Oryzias latipes: one gene and its partner. The protein of the gene in region 1 purifies or fractionates together with the protein of each later gene. This does not show direct contact. Links are inferred from orthologs where the notes say so. Each region holds a gene or a part of one and is shown in the gene's direction. Other genes may lie near its edges.

Region 1 (11,062 bases):
ATTCATTCGTTCATTTGTTCATTCATTTAATCATTAGTTTATTCATTCATTTATTTATTCATTTATTCATTCATTTACTCATTCATTTATTTATTTTTTCATTCATTTGTTCATTCATTTATACATTAATTCATTCAATCATTTGTTCATTTATACATTAATTCATTCAATCATTTGTTCATTTATTCATTCATTCATTCGTTCATTTGTTCATTCATTTAATCATTAATTTATTCATTCATTTATTTATTCATTTGTTTATTCATTCTTTCATTCATTTATTCATTTGTTTATTTATTCTCTCATTTATTCATTCATTCATTTATTCATTCATTCATTTATTTTTTCATTCATTTATTCATTTATTTATTCATTTACTCATTCATTTATTCATTTGTTTATTTATTCTCTCATTTATTCATTCATTCATTCATTTATTCATTCATTCATTTATTTTTTTCATTCATTTGTTCATTTGTTCATTCATTTATTCATATATTCATTTATCCATTCAATCATTCATTTATTCAATCATTTATCCATATATTCATTGATACATTAATTAATTCAATCATTTGTTCATTTATTCATTTATTCATTCATTCATTCGTTCATTTGTTCATTCATTTAATCATTAGTTTATTTATTCATTTATTTATTCATTTATTCATTCATTTACTCATTCATTTATTTATTTTTTCATTCATTTGTTCATTTGTTCATTCATTTATACATTAATTCATTCAATCATTTGTTCATTTATTCATTTATTCATTTATTCATTTATTCATTTGTTCATTCATTCATTCGTTCATTTGTTCATTCATTTAATCATGAGTTTATTCATTCATTTATTTATCATTTGTTTATTTATTCATTCATTTATTCATTCATTCATTTTTTCATTTATGCATTCATTCATTTATGTTTTCATTCATTTGTTCATTCATTTATTCAACAATTCATTCATTCATTCCTTTATTCAGTCATTCATTCATTTATTCATTTGTTCATTTGTTCATTTATTCATTTGTTCTTAAATTCATTTATTCATTCATTCATTCAATCATTTATTCACTCGTTCATTTATTAATGTTCATATATTCATTTATCCATTCATTCATTCATGTATTCATTTATTCAATCATTGATCATTCATTCATTTATACATTAATTCATTCAATCATTTGTTCATTTATTCATTCATTCATTCGTTCAATTTGTTCATTCATTTAATCATTAATTTATTCATTTATTTATTCATTTATTTGTTTATTCGTTCATTCATTTATTTATTCATTTGTTTATTTATTCTCTCATTTATTCATTCATTCATTTATTCATTCATTCATTTATTTTTTCATTCATTTGTTTATTTGTTCATTAATTTATTCATATATTCATTTATCCATTCAATCATTCATTTATTCAATCATTTATCCATATATTCATTGATACATTAATTCATTCAATCATTTGTTCATTTATTCATTTATTAATTTGTTCATTCATTCATTCGTTTATTTGTTTATTCATTTAATCATTAGTTTATTCATTCATTTATTTATTCATTCATTTATTCATTTGTTTATTCATTCTCTCATTTATTCATTTATTTATTCATTCATTCATTCATTCATTCATTTATTCATTCATTCATTTATTCATTCATTTATTCTTTCATTCATTCATTCATTCATTCATTTATTCATTCGTTCATTTATTCATTCATTTATTCATTCGTTCATTCATTCATTTATTCATTCATTAATTGATTCAATCATTCGTTTATTAATTTTATTTATTCATTCATTCATTTATTCCTTCATTCATTTATTCATTCATTTATTCATTCTTTCATTTATTCATTCATTCATTCATTCGTTCGTTCATTTATTCATTCATTCATTTATTCATTCATTTATTCATTCATTCATTCATTCATTTATTCATTCATTTATTCATTCATTCATTCATTCATTCATTCATTTTTTCATTCATTCATTCATTTATTCATTCGTTCATTTTATTCATTCATTCATTGATTCCTTTGTTTATTCATTAATTCATTGATTCATTCATTCATTCATTCATTTTTTCATTCATTCATTTATTCATTCGTTCATTTATTCATTCATTTGTTTATTCAGTCATTCATTTATTCATTCATTCATTTATTCATTCATTCGTTTGCTCATTAGTATTCTTACTAATTTTTTTGTTCATTAGACTCTATGTGTTTGTAAACTTTAAATAAACTGATAATGGACTCAAACATGTAAACTGACAGATGTTTTTGTTGATCAGAATTCTAAAGTTCATGAAACACGTCCAAAGTCGGACCTTTGATAATCATGTTAGATTGCTGTCTAATTTTTAGGATCCCATGCACTTCTAACAAAAAACTATGTTAGACTTTTTTATTTTTACTCCCCAATTATTTTTCTGAAGAATACTTTGCCTGCCCACACTAATACATCTGCTGTATGTGGTCTAAAATGGCAAATGCACAATATCAAGTTTATATTCAACGCCTGTAAAAGGTTCCTTTACTTTTTCTTTTTTTGCTTATTCTTATTGAACTAAGTTTTACTGTCCTTTAAACTTTATTCAATATCAGGTTTAGCAGACAATTACTAAGGAAAGCATTTAATTTACCAAACATGGTCCTGAAAGCATTTTCTTTGTGTCATGACAGAATGTAGGCAGTGATATCTATGCCAACACGTTGACACAAAACTTTCTAAGTTGCAAATGAAAATATTTAATATCTGCTTTCACATTTTGTTTGCTTTCAAATTTATTTTTTGTTTGCTTTAAAAAACTTTTTTACACTTTTTTTTTAGCTTTCAAATTTAATTTTCTTTTTTGAAAAATTTCCTTGCGTTTGATGGCAGCTTTGACACAGTAAAATGAACCAAATAAGCAAAATATAAGACAAAATGCATGCAAAAAAACTGTTTTGCAAACAGAAAAGTATTGTTTGAAAAAAAAAATTGAGAGCAAAAAAAAATTTGAAAGCAAAAAAAGGTTAAAAGATAGATTTCTTGAAATAAAAAAAAACCTGAAAGCCGACAAAAAATTGAAAGCAAAAAGTAAATTTTTTTGAAAGCAGATATTTAATACTTTCATTTGCAACTGAGAACGTTTTGTGTGCAACATGGTGGCATAAATATCACTCCATAAGGAAGCAGCTCCAGAAAACGTTCAGCTGGAAAATTGATGGGCTCCCTCTTGTGGCGTTTTAAGGGATTACATAAACATTCGACCATTTGAATGAGCTTCATCCGCCTTTAGGGAACAGAGTGGTGTCTGTCATTCATCTATTATCTATATTTAAATTTAAAAAAAAGAGTTGAATGAAAATGAAGACATGTGCAGACGTGTGAGCTTTCTGTCACAATTGTCTGATCATCTGGTTTTCAATTTTGTTTGGTAGGTCATGAATCAACGGACACTATTTTATTCCCAGAATTGAACAGAACTGACTTGGTTCCTGAGTTCAGTTTGCTCTTTGCCGTTGTGTTGCTCTGCCTGCATGAGTGAAGGGCCTCTGACGCTTCTCCCTGCCAAACTGACAGGCGGGCCCCTGAGAGGTTAGGGGTTAAAGAGACAACGTGTGAAGAAGCTGATCCGGATGAATCCAGCAAATGAAACAGGCAGCTTGCAGCCCCACTTTGGGTTTGTGATGCTCTTTGCTCCCTCATGTCAGAGTTGGATGTTTTTAGGTGGGTCTGAGGAAGCTAACCAGAGGATTTCTGTTTTTGGATTATTTTTCCTGTCATCCTTTTTGAATTTTAGTCAAGTAGAGAAAATGTGAGAAAGTAACATTTATAAACTTATAGATTTACTGTAAAGGAATATTACTCGTAACACAAAACATTATTGAAGATGTCTACTCTTACTTTATAAGAATATTGAGTAATATTTCATTTTTCCCTTTTAACATTACCATTTGACAATTGGTTGTATTTTTTTTTTTATCTACACTCATCTGAAAGGCCTCCAGTGATTTTATTGATCCATAGCATCAAAATCTGCTGTCTATACACTTATAAAGACTTATAAAGTTTTTCCCTTTTTTAAACAACTCATATTAAATTATAAACCAGAACTAAGAAGGTTTTTGTTGTGTGATACTTTAAATAAAAATGTCGTTCACGTTGGTAAATGCAGATATTGTCATGTGAGGGGGGAGGCTCGAGAGCCGCTTGGACCCAGAAGCAGAGGCGGGAGGCAAACAGTTCCAAGGCCAGGGGGTTTAATAAACAATCAAACAAAAGGCGCTGCAGAGCAGGATGACAAAACAAAAACCCAGTGGCGTGGCATGAAACATGGCATGAACGGACGAAGACACATGAAGACGTTAAACACACGACCAGAAGTTAATGGACCAGCACAAGAGGAAGGCAGAGACAAGACAGGTGAACACGATCAGGGCAGATGGGGACCAAAGGAAGTAAAGCACAAGTAACAAGACAGGAAACCTTTCAAAATAAAACAGGAAACAGAACCAAACAAGACAGAACAAGAACTAAAAGGAAAAAACACGACACAACAAACTCAAACCATGACAGATATTCCCTGATAAACCATCTTTGGACAGGGGAAAACATTTGGATGCATTTTCTGCTCAACACTTGCTTCAGAAAAGTGAGTAAAAAACAAAAATGGAGTGAAAGATATCAGAGATGGGAAGAACGGAGACATACATGACTTGAGAAAGTGCTAAGCTTGGACCGGGCTCAATTATTGTTGACAAAAAGCAAATGTTGGACATTGCAAATTTCCTGCCAATCTGGTTCTCTTTGACCCAAACGGGTTACAGCGGATGAGTTTGGTTCTGCTTTTTGGCAGAAGTTGGGGTACATCCTGGACAGGTAGCCTGTTTGTCACAACATTCACATCTAGGTTCTATTTAGAGTCATCCATTAACCCACGAAGCATGTTTTTGAACTGTGGGGGTGGAACTGGAGAAAACTCCCACATGCACAAGGAGATTCCACCCGGGATTTGAACGAGGGCCATTTGCTGTGAGGCAAGCGTGCTAACCACTACACCACCATGCAGCTCAGCTATGAAAAAAATCATAATTAAATTGTGGTCTTCACCGTTTTTTTCTCTCATTGAAATGTTTTGATATAAATATTGATGGGACAGTATTGTGTCGATACTTTATGTGTAAATTGCATTTCATTGCTGTATTTTAAGTGCAGCTTGTGTTAATTTGTTGTTATTTATTTATTTCCTTGCTAACAGTCAAATGAGTGTGTTAAAAAAAATAGGAATAAAAAAAGAAAAGACTGTAAATGACAGACATTACAGTAGAGTAGAATTCACTCAGACTGCTTTTCCAGTTCTTGTTCAATGGTGTGACACAAATTAGCCACGTGGTGGCGCCACTGCTCTAAATGGGATTACATTGTGTAATTTGACTTTAAAAGCACACGTGTGTGTGTGAGCGTTTGTGTGTCTGCGACGGCAATAGGAAATAAAAAAATAGTCTAACACAACAAAGATTCAAAAAGAGAATCTCGAGTTGCAAATTCGAAAAGTGAGGCCGCTTCTTTTCTTGGAATGACATATCCTTCCGCCAGCTGAGGAGGTCCCTGTGACGTAGCCGGTCGGGGGCGGAGCTTCGCCCTCAAGCAGGCTACCTGCTGATCGGGCGCTTCAGTCTGCGGCGCCGCAACAGCTGACACGTTTCGACGGAGCGGCCCGCTTTGGAACTTTATGTTCGGTTCCGTTGACCCGTCTCGCAGGTTTTAGAGGAGTTAGCGGAAGAGCTCGCGGAGGAATGCTCTTTGAGAGCACGTGCGTCCCGTCGTGAAGAGCGGAGAGCCTCAGCATGGACGAGCCGATCTCCGCCGCCGGCCGGTCTCCGGCGTCTGCCGGGACAGTCCCACCGTCCCCGGGGAAGAAACAAGCCGTGAAGAGACACCACCACAAACATAACCTGAAGCACCGGTACGAGTTTCTGGAGACGCTGGGCAAAGGAACCTACGGAAAAGTCAAGAAAGCCAAGGAGAGATCGGGACGCCTGGTAAGGACTCGATCACCGGTGTGCAGCACCGGGTCACCGTCCGGTAACGGCCACCTGTCGTTAAAGACACCGGGCTATTTTTAGAAGACACACAATCTGCCACATCACAGTTTGAACAAACGAATTAAAGGTTTGTCTGACAAATAGACCCAATAAAATGCGTGCTGAGTTCAATGAACGTCTTTTTGCCCGGATTTCTCGCTCTTTTTCTTGAACCTTTTCGCCTGTCTGCAGTCCAGAAAAAGCGGCGGTTTCAGATCTGACCGAGATTGGGCCGAATTTAGCATCACTTTACGGAAAACGTCATGAAGTTGCACAAACATTTGGAGATAAGCATCTCGTCTCGGGTCAAACAGGAAGTTTTGCATCAACAACTTTAATTTGGTGTGCACATGCGCAGAGGGAAAAGGGATTTATTTTTATTTGAACCCCTGATTTATACAATTTCACAGCAACAGTCTTAAACATCAAAATCAACCAAGAAAAGACAAAAAAAAATGACAACCTTAAATAAAACAAAAACTAGGAGTAGAAGGTATTCTTCTTGCATTTTTATCTTTCATAAATTTAAGTGCAGTAAAATGTATTCATAAATCTGCTTATGAAATAAATTAACAAGTAGTTTGATTAAAAAAATGTTTTTGTGATTTAAAATGTATTAAGTAGTAATACCCATTATTCCATTATTATGAGATTATTCCAAGAAGTATTTGCTTCTTTCCTAATTTTGTATAACAGGAAATTATGAGCAACACCAACATTAGCTGTCTTCCCCAAAACTATTGACGATGCATTTATAAAATAAAATGTTATGGAGAAAAGTTGTCTGTATATTAAAGATACACTCCAATAAAAAAAGTGTTTTTTAACATGTTCTTTTATCACGTTGGAGGACGTATGTAAAGGAAATGAAGGTCAAAATTGCATCTCCGAGTATTTCTTTATTCAAATCGTTGTGAATCAGGAGCAGATGAAAAAATGCAGTTGGAAAAAGCATGCAATGAATCAGGGAAGTTGGGTAGTTTTTGCTCTCGGCGTCCCGGAAACGAACCTGTCGGGTAAAATCCTGTTCCACGTGACCCAAGAGAAAATGGAAAGTATATAAAACAGACCGGAGAGAGATGGCCTTGATAGAAACTAAATAGCCTTTAGAAAAAACCCCTGAAATCTTTCACTTTTAAACCTGAAATCTTCAGGAAGAGACTTCATAGAAGTTGATTATAGTCAAACCGGGACAAACTTTGAATGTGTTGCAGAACAACACTTTTAACACTTCCAAGTAAAGTTACTTTATTTTTTCCCGACAATATCAACAATTTACATCAAAATCTAAGACCCAACAGTCGCCATTTAAAGGAAGTTCGTTGATTGAAAGTGTTGTCTGGAACAGAAAGGAGGGAAAGTGGCTGTTGGAGCTGGGAATTCCCCCCGCGGAGCTGCATGAGGCATGCAGGCCTACAGGTTGGGTCATGCTCTGCCTTTTCTCCGTCACCCATGAGCACTGCTTTAACAAGACATGACTTAGAGTCTGAGACTGCCTCTGTGAACGCCCTGTTGTCCCAGCGGCTCTCAACGACACACAGAAACGCCGCAGACGTCCATGCACAGGTGCAGAGAAGGACGCAGGTGTGTGCTCCTTTGTCTGCATCAGCGTGGTGGGAGGGGCTCAGCGCCATGGCTGTGATTCTGCGTCAGTTTTGTGTTGTGTAGTGTGTTATTTTGTGTTGTGACCCTTCTGGGCCACGTACTCTTCGGTGATCTGACACCCCTCCTACACAGCCGTGTTGGTGGGGAACTTCTTAACTTGTGCTAAGTTTGGGAAAAATCCTGCGGCGATGACCATTTAGGGGAGAGAAATCAATCACAAAAACCTGCATCTTAACAAATCCAATGTTGTTGTTTTTTTCACCTATTCAGCATAGATGTCTAAAGAAAGTGATGAACAGCCTTGACTAATGTGTTACACGTTGCACACAGAGCTTCACTGTCACAGGTTTGGTTTCTGTTTTGGTCTAAAGTGTGTCAGTGTTTATGGACTCCTTAGAATCGGAAACTCTTATCTGTAAACAGCGTCTGGACTTGAGGAAAAAATAGTGACTTACGAAAGCTCATTGGCGGTGAAAGCTGGTGTGAATGGGCTCTTATCGTCAGGACATTTTTGGATAAGAAAAACCTCGTATGAGTCATGGATTTGTATTCTTTTTAAAATGTTTTTAACTAAATCTGCTCTTCTCATACAGGCCAGTGTTAGTATATTTACTATTTTGGGAAAAGCTAAAAGTAAATGTATAGTTTTTTAATCCTAAATACAGAAAACATCTTTTGTCACGGACATTTCTTGTGGGTATCTTCATGTTCTGCTGTCTGCGTTCAACCACACAGAGGAAAAGTAGGCTCAGCAGGATTTAGCCGGTCTGTAGTGTTTGACCATAGGAACAGGGTTATTTATCAAGAAAATCCATGAACCCCAAATATTTGCATAGAAAGTCAGTGTGAAATACTAACATTTTACCCTCTGGGTGGCGATTACGTCTGTCGACCGTAGGATACGAAGAGCACTTGCACTCAGGGAATCCCACACGGGTGTGAAATCCCCCTGACTGAGACCTGACCTGAACCTGTCTGGCAACAAACGCAGGAAACCTCGCCTCCCAGAACCAGGAAGTGGGTCTGTACGGTGTGACCACGGCACTGACCCCGGAGGAGGATACACGTCAGGCGTTGACTCACTGCAGAAGACAAAAATGATACGGCTTCACTCATGTCCCCGTCTGTGTCCAAAGCCGTGAGGGCCTCAGACACACCAGGAAAGGAGGACGGCTCACAGGCCGGGCCATCTGCCGCCTCATGACTCCCTCCGTCTCGGGGGAGACTGATGACGCACTCGGCGCACAGAGGAATCCCAGGCATCCAAGGTCCAGATAGACACCCACGGCTTAAAAACACAAGCCTTGGTGAATGTAGAGCAAGCGGCCGTTATCTAGGTTGACGTGTTCCTCTGTGGGCCTTGAAGAGTCTGTGGCAGACAATAGAGGGTTTTTTTTGTATTTTGAAGCTGGCATAGCTCGACCTGGAGTCCCCGCTGCCATGTTGGAAACAGAAAAGCAGTTTTCGCTCCAGCGCCCTTCACAGTTGGTCAGCGTTTAGAAAGACGGGCCTTTTTGTTCCATGGGGGCTTATTTGTAGATGTTTACAGCCTGTTGAGCTGAACACACAGGCTTAAATTAGCATGTGTTTGTTTTTCTTCACCAAAATAAATGTCCAGTTTTCTGACTTTTGTTGAAACGCACCTCATCTGCAGCATAAACATGGCTGATATCAGACTTCAGTGGTTTAGAGATTTGGTTTACCGGTAGGAAGCCCATTGAGACAGCAGTTGCTGTGATTTTGGGCTAAATAAATCAAATTGAATTGAATTAAAGACCCAGTCCAAAGAAAATTGTGTTTTTAAAATGATTTTGGGGCATTTTTCTCATGGTGGAGGAAATGTATAAAGAAAATTAAGATCAAAGTTGCATTTCTGAGTATTTCTTCATTCAATTCGTTGTGAATTGAGGAGCAGACAAAAAAAAGGCTGTTTGAAAACGATTGGATTTGTGACAGAAAATACGATGGGCAGGCCTGGAGCTCCATTCTGATGCCTTCACTGTCAGACAAACAGATCCATGAACGTCTTTGTTTTCCTCGTCTGAGCTGGAATCTGGACGGCTGGATGGCTCTGCTATGGCTGCCATTTTTGTTGCACTGCTAATGCTAGGTTTGGGGGGGGGGGGGGGGGGGGGCTGTAAGCTAGCAGGAGAGAGTGTAAGCAAAGGGATGATGGGAAAGAAGGTCAGACTTACTCCCCACCAAATGTCCCACCCACAATTCAGAGGCGAATTTCGAATGAACTCCTGCCGCTCTGCAGAAACTATGTCCCAGGAGGCTAAAACCAGCATAATCATAAATAAAAGAGCACTGGGAACACTTTGACAATAAATCAAAAGATGATCATATTTGGTTTTTAAGAATTCTTTCTGTTGTGCATTTTCCATAATGAATCCCAAAGAAGTCAATTATGTTTATAAATTGAATTTCCTTTGTGTCTCTCTCGTCTTTTGAAGGTTGCTGTGAAATCCATCAGGAAGGAAAAGATCAAAGATGAGCAGGATCTGGTCCACATCCGCAGAGAAATTGAGATCATGTCCTCCATGTGTCACCCGCACATCATCAGCATATATGAAGGTGCGTGTTCAGGAACGCTCGGGTCTCATGGTTTCATGGCTGGGCGTCACATCCTGCGTTGCGCGCCGGAACCTGATGCCCGCTAAAGGAAAACCATCTTCCTGTCACGGCCTGAGTGTGGTCACGCAGCTCTTTGTGCTGAAGATGGTGCTTGGTTACGTAAGCGCAGACACGCCGCTGAGCGCTGGGAGATAATGCGTGGCTTCATGTCCGCCAGCAGCGGCTCTCACGCTTGATGAGAAGGCCATTATCGGTGCTTCTGCATCACAGCTACACGATTATCAGCCAGCCGTGTTGTGAGATTTGCTTAGAAGGTTTGTGGAACAAACACTCAAATGGACGTTTTCTCTGCTTTTTTTTCCTTTCAGTGTTTGAAAACAAAGACAAAATAGTGATTGTGATGGAGTACGCCAGCCGAGGAGATCTGTACGACTACATTTGTGAAAAGAGGAGACTCTCTGAACGAGAGGCCCGGCATTTCTTCAGGCAGATCGTTTCCGCTGTTCACTACTGCCATCAGGTGAGGAGGGGGTTCCTGGTTGGCATCTGGACGCACCGCCCCCACATGCACATACATACACGCACACAGGCACCTCACATGCACATACATACACGCACACGGGCGTGCATACAGGGCCCGCCATGCTGCTGCCATGAGGGGCGGAGCTTGTAACCAACCGTCTATGGGGGGCTGCAGGAGGAGCGAAAGGCCAACCGGACTCGGCGCACGCATGGTCTCACAGTTTAATGAGGGTGTGAAGGAACAGACCCCCCCTCCCCACAGGACACACAAAC
Region 2 (10,950 bases), on another chromosome or scaffold:
GTGTTGTGTTTGAAATTATACCCAGTCCATTGACTGTATATGAGAACTGGAACTGAGTGAATGTGGCATCATCCATTAAAAATAGTTTACTTCTAGCTCTGGCAAATTGAAGTTAATTCAGTCACAATTTGTCCACAATATGGAGGTCACCATGTTGAAACCAGACAACATCAGTGAGCCCTCACTCATATTCACAAAGTTCACTAGACTATCCCCCAGATCAAAGCTAGGAGCCAGACCCTGGAGACCTCACTGCAGCAACCTTGTTCACTGAGATTACTGGTTTGGAGAAAAATGTAAAAAGAACAAAATACATCAAAGTAAAAGCAGAGATGGATGGATGGATGGATGGATGGATGGATGGATGGATGGATGGATGGATGGATGGATGGATGGATGGATGGATGGATGGATGGATGGATGGATGGATAGATGGATAGATGGATAGATGGATGGAAGGATGGATGGATGGATGTAATTAACTGAATATTTCCTGGAGATTATTCTATTTAAAGTTGGTGTGAGAACAAAAATCATGCATGGGCAGCTGTCTTTACAGCCCTCCAGACTCACTCTCTTCGTCAGGAATCATCAGCCAAAAAGTCCCTGAGGAGATTCACAGTTAACGTGGTAAACAAGGGCCTCTTCTCAGGGATAAGTCATAGCTGCTGAGGGCATTGGCACTGCTGTCATACTGCTGTGAACACGCCCACACAGTAATGGTTTTGAAGCCCCACTCGTTTGTGAGTGGGATTTTAAGGTGCTGATGCACTGGAGACCCTCCTCCCACAGAGTTATTCTTTTAATTAGCGGGAGCAGCAGATCAAAGGGACGGCTAATGAAAGACAAGGATCTGCATGACGAAGTAAACACGGCGATGGATGCTGACGAAGCCTCCATCTATCCCCCTGATGTGTTTAATGAATCATATGGAGTCACACCACTAATCTCTATTATTTGAATACTGGATATAAGGAAGCGGTGTGCGAAAGAGGCCATGAAGTGAGCAGATCCCTGATCGTCATCCTAACGCCAGAAGATTTTGTGAGAACAGCAGGCAGTTGAGAATTAGCTTAAGCGTAGCCTGTGCTGTTACCAATGTCACTGAGACCAATAGAGCTGCATAGTGGTCAACACAAACCAGAGGCATCCAAGACAGCTGGAGTTAGCAAGAATAAAACTAAAAGTTTCAGCTGTTTGATTAGCAAGCCAAAGAAAAGTTCAAGTTACTAAACACCCGCTCCAATGAAAATGGTGTTTTTAGAATGTCATTTTAAGAATAGAATTCTGTTCCTGTAGCATTTGTCTGATGATAGAGTACATATAGAAAGAAAATTAAGCTTAAAACTGTATTTCTAAGTATTAATTTATTTGAATCCCTGTGAATTAGGAGCAGACAAAAACATGCACTTTGAAAAACATCATATTTGTGATGAAGAAAATATTCTGGGTGGGCCACAAGCTTCCTGCTCCAAGCTCTTAGCAATGGAGACAGGGAGGGGGGCGGGGATGCTCCTCACCAGCAATCCCACCCACAACTCAGAGGTGAATTTCTAAAAACAATAATAATCACGTTTTTTTTTTTTTTTGGTGTTGTGTTGTTTCTAAATGTTTCTAAAGCCTCTCCTGATCTTTTATCACTGTTTTGGAGGTAGGTATGTTCTCTTTTTTTCTTTTTTTTTTTGCATTTGAGCCCCTTTTTTCTTTAAATTTGAGATTCCCTTGTATTTTTTCATTAATGTGATGTAATCAAAGCAATCTTTATTAGTACAGATCTTTTATTGTAATGTAACACAAAGTGCAAACTAACAAATAAACAAACAAACAAATATAAATGACTGCCCTAATATTTCCCACCCCTTGAATCAGTGGAGGTGAATATTGGGCTCTAGGTGATACACTGAAATATGTAAATGCACTTGTGTCTAAATTAGTTGATTCAATTAGATGACCATGTGAAACTCTTGGTTTTTCCCAATGCTGTGATCACTGCCTGTCTAAAAAGATGGATGTGGTTTTCCTCATTGTGTGTCTGTGGGAGCAGGAGGAGGGGGAGGAGGAGGGGACAACAAGAGGGGGCAATGCAACCAACTTGATGCAATTTCTTTCTGTTTTTTGACCTCCCACTTAAGATGAAAGTGACATCCACAAACCTTTAAGGTCCCTGTAAACTAGAGGATTTAATGAGTCCCCCTCCCCCTCAGACTATTTCATTTTCCTTTTATTTCAGTCTAACAAATAAAATGAACCATTTACTTTGTTGTTCATTATGATTCCTTTCAAGCTTCTACATATTCTGCTGCTTTTCCATCTTTACGTCGGGTTCTGGACGCGTTCTTCACATTGACATCACATAAATTCAAAGCAGAGACATTGTGGATAATACTCATCTGAAGCCACATTGTTGAAGTGAGACAAAACAAATCTCTGCATAGCTGATTGTTAAAAAATTAAAAACATTTTCTCATCACTAGAGATCAGCTGGTCACTTTATTGTGGCTGTTTGTGATGGACAGTCACAAATCTCACATCTTGTTTTGTTTTATTGGTCTGGATGTTGAATGTGCTCATGTCTTTCTGTTTCACGGAGATGGCAGATTTATGGAGATTTACAAAATAAAAGACAACATTTTAAATGGTTTTTCTAGTGCATCAAATCATTTTGTTTTTTAAACATGTGCTTTTGTGACACCTGTGTTTGACTTGCTCCACATGGATTAAGGTCTGTTTCTCTGCCAAACAGTGATTTCCTCATCACTTTCCCCTCAAACACTACTAACATCAGCGCATTTTAGGCCAGCAGCTTCCTGACACTGACGTTGGTGTTCCACATCCCCGTGACTCAGAAGAACCGCAGCAACTTCCCACTACAACCTCTAAAGACTGAGCATCAGCTGAGCTGCTCCTCGGTGTGTCTCAGCCTCATGTGCACAACATCTGCAGACCGTAAATAGGCTCTTTGCAGTTAAGCCTCAGTGACACATAGAACAGCTTGCTGATGGGAGACTGTTTATTTTTGCACATTGGCTCATGGCCATTATTTCTAGTGTTTGTTTTGAATAATCATTCTCGCTGGAGTCGTTTTTCTGGACGTCGGTGGGTTGGTTGCATCAGGCATTTACAATTTTCGGGCACGTTTTCATGTGTGATGACAGTTCTGTGCTGAAGAAAACAGCACTGAATGCACATTTTATCCCTGTGACTTGCATGCAACAAACTAATAGCACACTTCCTACTGAATATGCACACTCCCCTGCCAACAATTTAGTGGAAAAAAATAAAATAAAAAGGGAAACTGTTTTTAATACAGGTCGATGTGGACCTCCTTTGTGCTTGAGTCTACATTCCAAGCTCACCAAGTGCTATCCATCTAATCACTGCAGGTGAAACTGGTTTTATTTTTACTCTTTGAGCGTCGTGTTTTCTTTTAGACTCAAAAATAACCTTGCATATGACAAAGATGGAGGAGAGATTTTTGGATGCACCCATGCATGGAACAAAGGGATCAAAAGGGGAAATACCTGTACAGTTAAAGTTTGTTTAGTTTGCAGGAAAAAAATCCCTTTGCTTCCTAAAATGAAAAGAACAGGAAACAAGTCCCCTCCCATTTGAAAGACTTTGATAATAATAGAAGTGCGAAAAAACAAGATGTCTAATGGAGAGATATGCAACTCAGTCTTTACAATGAAACAAACAGATCACGATGTGTTTTAGCCAATATAACAAGTATTTTTTTCCGTGTTGGTACCCATGTAGGTAAAAAAAATACATATATACAGTATATATACATATTTTTGTTTTGTTTTGTTTGTTTGTTTAAAACTAAAAAGGCAATGGTTTGTGGTTTAAAACATTTTCGGTTCAATAAAAAACCTTTTCTTCAAGTCTATTTGTAAACATTATCATACATTTTAGAATTTGGCTGCATTTAGCCTACCAATAAACACCTTTTTGTATAGGTTACCTTTACACAATGACTATGACGTGCCGTTACTTTTCATAATAAAATACACCACTATAAAAACCCGGTATAACATATTTTAAAATCCATTCAGAAAGAAGTAAGGTGCTACTAAAAGAAAGCAAGAAACTTATTTAATGAAACCTGAGAGTTGAACCCCCAACAGACTGCCTGGTAAATGACCCTTAGACCTGTAAGCTTTAAAGATGTTGCTTTTATTTTGTTCATTTATAGTTGGCTAATTAGTCAAATTCCCCCCCCCCCCCCCCTTCATTTTTGGGGGAAAAATATTTAGGTTAAATTTTATTCTTTTTTTGTGAAGTTTTGCGGTTTGATCATTTCATTTGTTGTTTTAATGTCTCTAACATTTCAATTTTTTCTTTTATTTTTATTTAGCAGTGATGCATTTAAAAATTCTTCATTGCTAATTTTGTTCCTAGGGGCTACCGTACATTTCCTCCACTTTCCTCATATCTGCTGATGGTGACGTATACTGCAGAGCCTGGATTTTAGTTCTCGCGAGATTTTGTCAAACAATTCAGACTTCTTTCGCTCAGTTCCTCCTCCTCCTCAGCCCTCCCTTCCCACGCCCCAGTGCGCCCGTGGGATAGTGGCACTATAAAGTATATCCTCTCTCGGAGAAAGATAAGAAGCCCGAGACAGGAGGGGGATGAAGATGGCGGACGCCAAGCAGAAAAGGAATGAACAGCTAAAGCGATGGATGGGCTCGGAAACGGACCAGGAGCCTCCTGTTTTCAAAAAGAAGAAGACGAAGGTGAAGTTCGATGATGGCGCCGTGTTTCTGGCCGCCTGCTCAAGCGGCGATACAGAGGAGGTGCTCCGTATGCTGGACCGGGGTGCTGACATCAACTATGCCAATGTGGACGGCCTCACAGCGCTCCACCAGGTCAGTGCTCACCTGCTGTCTCCGTTAAAACCAGCCTGCAGCCCCTGCCGCTCTCAAACAGGGCTTTACAGCATGCAACTGCTTTCCCTGGAACACCTGTCAAGTGGAAGCCATTCTCATCCCGTTGTTTACCTACCGAGCCCTCTTCCTTTCGATTCGACGCACCAGGGAACAAGAAGCTTGCGCGGGGGATACCCCACAAACAGCTTTCACACACCTTAGCGAACACACCTGACGATTTTTGGCCAAGTTTCCCTCCAATGAATCCCTCTTTTACCTCTAAAGCGGGTCTGTGTATTCCCTGCTCTGGGTGTAGTCTAATTACAGTACATCATGTTAAAATTGCTACATGAAAAGCCCATTTAAATGAAACGTCAGTGTTTAATTTCTTGTCTGGTGAAGTTAAGTAACATAAATTAAATTTATGTCATAAAGTATCGACTTTAGTTACAAACGTTTCCATTGATAGACGCATCCCTGTTTGGGATTCTTGGTTTTATGGCAGTGGACGGCTGCTAGTACTACCTCACCTGGTTAGCAGTAAAAGTAGTTTTGTTGATAACCCCAAATCACAAATGTGGCTAGCCTTTTAGGACAGCGCGACAACCTTTTTTTCCTTAAATTGTTCTTTTGAAATAATCCCAAATTAGTTAAAGTCAAGTTTTGCTCAAAGGTTAGTCCAAAATCGAGCTAAAGAAAATGCTATTAAACTTGTATTTAGGGTTAGCTTAAGGCTGCTAGCATGCTAAGATAACTTGTTAGCTGTTGGACTTCATCGTCGCTTAATTCATTCATTTACACGAATTGTTTTTTGTTCTCTGAAATAGGACTTTTAATGACTTGTTTTTTTAAACAAATACTACCAAATACTGGTGTTTGGTTTGTTGGCTAAACCGGAAAGTCAGCCGTACCGAGCTGAGCTATGTGCCCGCTAACTACCGTAGCTTCGCTCCGTAGCTTTGGTGCTTACTGGATCACCAGACTTTGTTAGAGACTTAAGCGGTCGGATCGATGTGTTGGTAAGCCCCAAACAAATGACAGATTTAAATTCAACCTTTTAACCGACGATAGTTTTTATTTTTTTATTTTACCCAGTCATCACTTAATTGTACTAAGGAAAAAAGCGTGTTCTCAGAACAGCTATTAAGCTTATTTGTGCCACTCATAACATAATAAGCTAAGTATAAACTCTTTTTTTTTTCTTAGTAAAGATGCCCATGATCTACTATAACGACACTCCATGATCTGTTTTTTTTTTTTAAACAGAGAAAAAGGGGTTATTTTGTTTGTGTGCTTTTATTTTCGTAAGTTTGGCTGTCTACATTTTGTTTGTTTGTTCTAACATTAGGGACAGTCTGAGCTCACATTAATTGTTTAATGCTTGGTCATCAGCCATGTCATCACATTGCTCACATTCACATGTCTGGTCATAGATAGCTGCTCTTTTTCTGTTCTTTCTGTCAGCATTGTCCATATGGTAGAAGATTGCCAAAACCTGGCTTTACCTCCAGTCCCCTTTTCTATCTGATGTCATCGATGCTGCTAGGTGGACATTGTTTTATTTTTTGAAGTCTGTAGTGAGTTATTGGTTTATAACTTCAATAGAGCAAATATGGGGGCAAGCTGCTTTAAATCTGTGTATTTCTAGCAGTGAGAAGTGGGTGTTATATGCCAGCATGTGATCTCTGAGCAGTTAAGCAATAATAATGTGGGATTTAAAGATTATCTGTTCTTTTGCAGTCCAGGTTGGTTAACAGATGTCTGAGACATTATGATTTCTAACGTTATACCCATTAAAATCTACAGAAATGGACATGAGATACTGGCTTTTGTCTTATTCTGTCGTGATGGTTCTCTGCATGGTGCAGTGGTGACCCTCCCATTGCTAGTGACTGGTGCGTGGTTATAAATAACCTGTCCCAAGTTCTCCTAACTGGGTTTCAGGAGATGATACTAAGTTTGGATATGACTCACAGTCTGAAGCTGTGCTTTGTGCTGAAGCTCTGATATCATTCAGGCCAGAGGTTGACTTTGTTTGTAAATCGCAGACAAATCCAAACTTAAAAAATGTTGTGTTGCTGAAAGGCCTGTAAACATGCTTCCAAGCTGCTGCCCTGGCGTTAAAAGCCAACGGTTTGAGCCGTTCCCAGGCTGAACACTAACAAAAAGGATGCTGTGCATCTGAGATCTTGGGCATACTTGCCTAAAGACCCATTCCGATCCTCTTTTAATCTATTCTAAAAACATTCCCACTGGGTTTTCAGTTATATTTAGCCAAAATCCTGTCGTTCTCTAGGACGTAATTTCTACAGAGCGGCAGTAGTTCATTAGAAATTGGCCTCTGCGATTTGTTGTTGACCGTTGCTGAGAGCTCTCTGTTTATGCACTCTCCTGCTAGGTTACAACCCCTAACACCGTCAATCTAACATTACCGGTACCAGAAAAATGGCAAGCAAGCTATCTAGCTGTACAGTTTAGAGCCATGTTCCTGCTCAGACGAGTAAAACAAAGACGGACGTGGATCTATTTGTCTGCAAGTAGGTGCATCAGAATGTTGCAGAGCCGGGAGCTTGTAGTGGATTTTCGATGTTCAAAAATTATCTCATTTTTTTTATTTTTCAATGAAATGTTTTTGTCTGCTACCAATTAAAAAAGATTTGATTAAAGACAAACACAAGAATGCAACTTTAGACTTGTTTTTTTTTTTTTTTTTTTTAAATATGTGTCCTATTATGCGAAAAAAATTCTACAAGAACATGTTAAAAAATAAACACCAAAAACAAAATTTTAATCAGAATGGGTCCTTAAAACCCAACGGTAGAGGCCAAACCCAAGCTGCACACTAACAAAAGGATGCTTAAGACTTGAGATCTTGTGGTCATACTGGCCTAAAAGTCCAGATTCCTCTTTATTCTATACTTGTTAATAAATTATTTTAACAGTATTTTCCCCAGTTTTCAAAGGAAACATATTTTTTTGTTCAAAGAGTAGGTCGGTGTTACTGAGTGTGCTTTCAAGACCTTAGTTAGTTTCAGATTCAATCAACCAAAAAATGTCAAACGTCTGGTTTATATCGTTTCAAAGGGGAATATCCCCTCATTGGTGTGGATGGAAAAAAAGATGAATGGAGATCGGACATTTTTGCTTTAAATTTGTCCATTTTCAGTAAAGAAATGATCAACATTTCCTGCACAAGTGAACTGAAATACTCTGACTAGCAAAGAAAAGGTGACATTATGGTCATTTAAGAGCTAATAATGAAGATAATTTGATAGAGATAACCGAGTCAAAGAATGTCATTACTAAACTGTAACATTGTTGTGAAAAAATCATTAGCGACATAGGAGGAAACTGTAGAAGCTTTTTGCATTAGTAGAGATGAAGAGTTGAGCATCATGCCATGTGCACAAACATTTTCCAGAAGTTTGAGCTGGAAGCTAAGGCATTCTTCTCATGACTGTCACTGGAAACCATAGCAAGGAGAGAACAGAGGAGACATTCCTCAGCTGTCACCTAAAGCCCTCCCTTCCACGCAGGCTTTTGGCTTTCTATCCGTTTACAATGCCAAGGTCCAGCATCATCGGTGGAACGGCGCTAGAAAACCTTGAGTCTCACTTTGGAAAATCCTCAGACTAACCAGCACCAGAACGGTTCTGCTGGTGTCATAAACTCCACCAGTGATTCAGATTCTGATGACACGGCTCGCTTAGTGTGAAAAATATATTTCTGTTCCCTGTTGACATTGTACTGTTACTGTAGCCTTGAGGTCCTCAAACATTATCTTGCACAGTCTCCATGGCAACGGTTGAAAGGGTTGGTAGTTGCTTGTATTGGAGGATTTGCATGGACATTGTGGGAGTTGCATAACGGACTGCGAGTGGTGAGTGTTTGGCTGAAATGAGAGTCGGCCTCAGCAAATCTGTAATGGAACAAATCGCAGGGCACGCGGCGGAAGATGTCCAGATTGGCTGCATTTCTTTTGATCCAGGTCATATCAACACGTTACGTAATTGCCGTAGGTCTCCTCGCAGCCTCTGAGGTTTGTTTTGACCATGAGAGGAGCAGAGAAACAACAACTTTGACGTGTCCTTTTCCTCCTGATAAAGCCTGCATGACATCCACTTATAAGCCCCCAGAGCTGCCTGACTGCTCCAGATAGGAAACGAAACCTTACAGTCCCACATGGATAGTCAAATTAGCTTAGACTGCCATAACTAATACTATTGCATCATCTTGACCGTGCAGTTCAATGCTTTTTTTCTTTTCTCATTTGTTCTGCAGATCTTCTGATTTATCAGGCGTTCAGGTCAGTGTTCTGCTTAGGAAGTCCAAAAGGGAAGTCACTGCAAGAATGACACTTCGAATTATTCATTTTTATGCATAAAATATTAATATGAAAGCATAAAATTGAATTCATATAGTTTTCCCTCTTTTCTTGGGGATTGAGACAAAATGCGATGCCTAAATCTATCATTTAATGTCTAGAGGGATATACATTTATAAATGGGCTCATGAAAGTGAACTGTAGTCACTTAGTAGAACCTTCTGTTCAATTTACAAATGATCTACGTAATAAAATTTAGAGTCAACACATTTAAGGTAAAGTTTTGTAAGTTTGTAGCATTATTTAACACTTTTTAAAAATATTGTAGTGGTTTTACTTTAATATTGTGTGTGCTTGATCCCCTTATGATACTCTTTCTGTTCTGGTTTAAACACATCACAGCTATGTGACGATGAACAGAAAGAATTGGCTCCTGGAAACGGATTTGGAAAAATCTTTTGTTTATTTTTGTCCCTGTACTCCTAACAAACCTTTCTTAAATTTTACTCTAAAACTCCCAACTTTTTTGAGGCAGCTGCTATTTCTATCACTGTTCTTTAGTGATTTGAAGTACAGTCTTTTTTTTCCTTTTTGTAATGCTAATGACCAAGTAAATGTGACGTATAACATTTTCGATACATGTGAAACATTATTAATTTCACATAAATCCAAATTTAATGCCATTTACAATAGGGGGAAAAAGGTAATGGAATTCCTGGTGTGGTGTTGAGAAAAAGAGAATTCAGAAATGATAGTAAACCTGTGAACAAGTTGGCTTTCCGGTTCAGCTTAAGTAATTTATAATTGATCTGATGCATTTGAGCAGCATTAAAATCTCAAAGAGTGAACCCTGTGAAAAAACAAAATTATTTTGTTCATCCGGTAACCATAAAAGAACCAAGGAGAGACTTTAAGAAGGTTTAGAGTGAAATGTTCACAACATTTTTTTGTACTGTCGTGATTTAAAAAAAAAAAGCCTTTTTAAGCATTAGGCACCACTTTAACTGTGATTGGTGAAGTCCCATTTTACATGAGCAGCTATCTCCTGCTCATGATCTGTTGGAGTGAAGGAGCTGAGGCAAAAGGCAAAGCTCTCGATTTCCCTCACCCCAGTCACCAAGGAGGAGCTCGGAGTTGAGCTTGTTCACATTTAGAGAAACCTGTTGAGGAAGCTTGGCCATCTCTATGGGATGCCTCCTAAATGACTCCCTAGAGAGGTATTCGGGGCTTGTCCCATTAGGAGGAGATCCTAGAAAGTCCCCAGACAGTCTGGAAGAAGAGTTGGTTGAGGTGGCTTGGGAATCTCTTTGGGCTGCCTCCTGAATACCTCCCTGGGGAGGCATTCTGGGCATGTCTGACTAGGAGACCCGGAGGGGAAGTCCTGGGACCTCCTGGAAGAAGAACCAGTCGACATGGCTTGGGGGATCTCTTTGGGATGCCTCTTGAATATCTCTATTGGGAGGCATTTGGGGCATGTCCAACTAGGAGGAGACCTAGGAGCAGTCTCTGGATGGCATTGAAGGAACCATATCTCTCAGCTGGCGTGGGAGCCCCCTGGGGTCCCCCTGGCAGAAATGGTTGAAGTTTTTGGGTGGATGCATGCATAAAACTTGCCAGCTGCTCATAAATGTCTAATGTAATGTTGAATATATTTGAATGTAGCTAAATAATTCATTGTCTGGAACCGACGGTGTCTAGATTTTATTGTTCTCGTCTGACTGGAGGAGTTTACCCCCTTTGTCCTCTCAAGTCTACCCA

Evidence for each region.
Region 2: the proteins of nuak2 (region 1) and ppp1r12a purify together in Homo sapiens (affinity purification with mass spectrometry; 3 studies listed by BioGRID and IntAct, counting the BioPlex papers as one, with this or other methods). This does not show direct contact. The link is inferred for Oryzias latipes from reciprocal best matches to the Homo sapiens genes NUAK2 and PPP1R12A.

The regions. Positions count from the first base shown.
Region 1 is NC_019863.2:2,243,542-2,254,603, forward strand, and holds the start of nuak2 (NUAK family SNF1-like kinase 2), read left to right. Parts: upstream 1-5,648; 5' UTR 5,649-5,848; coding exon 5,849-6,043; intron 6,044-10,146; coding exon 10,147-10,267; intron 10,268-10,635; coding exon 10,636-10,787; intron 10,788-11,062. UniProt on the Homo sapiens protein: Stress-activated kinase involved in tolerance to glucose starvation. Induces cell-cell detachment by increasing F-actin conversion to G-actin. Expression is induced by CD95 or TNF-alpha, via NF-kappa-B.
Region 2 is NC_019881.2:19,248,500-19,259,449, forward strand, and holds the start of ppp1r12a (protein phosphatase 1 regulatory subunit 12A), read left to right. Parts: upstream 1-4,520; 5' UTR 4,521-4,631; coding exon 4,632-4,868; intron 4,869-10,950. UniProt on the Homo sapiens protein: Key regulator of protein phosphatase 1C (PPP1C). Mediates binding to myosin. As part of the PPP1C complex, involved in dephosphorylation of PLK1. Capable of inhibiting HIF1AN-dependent suppression of HIF1A activity.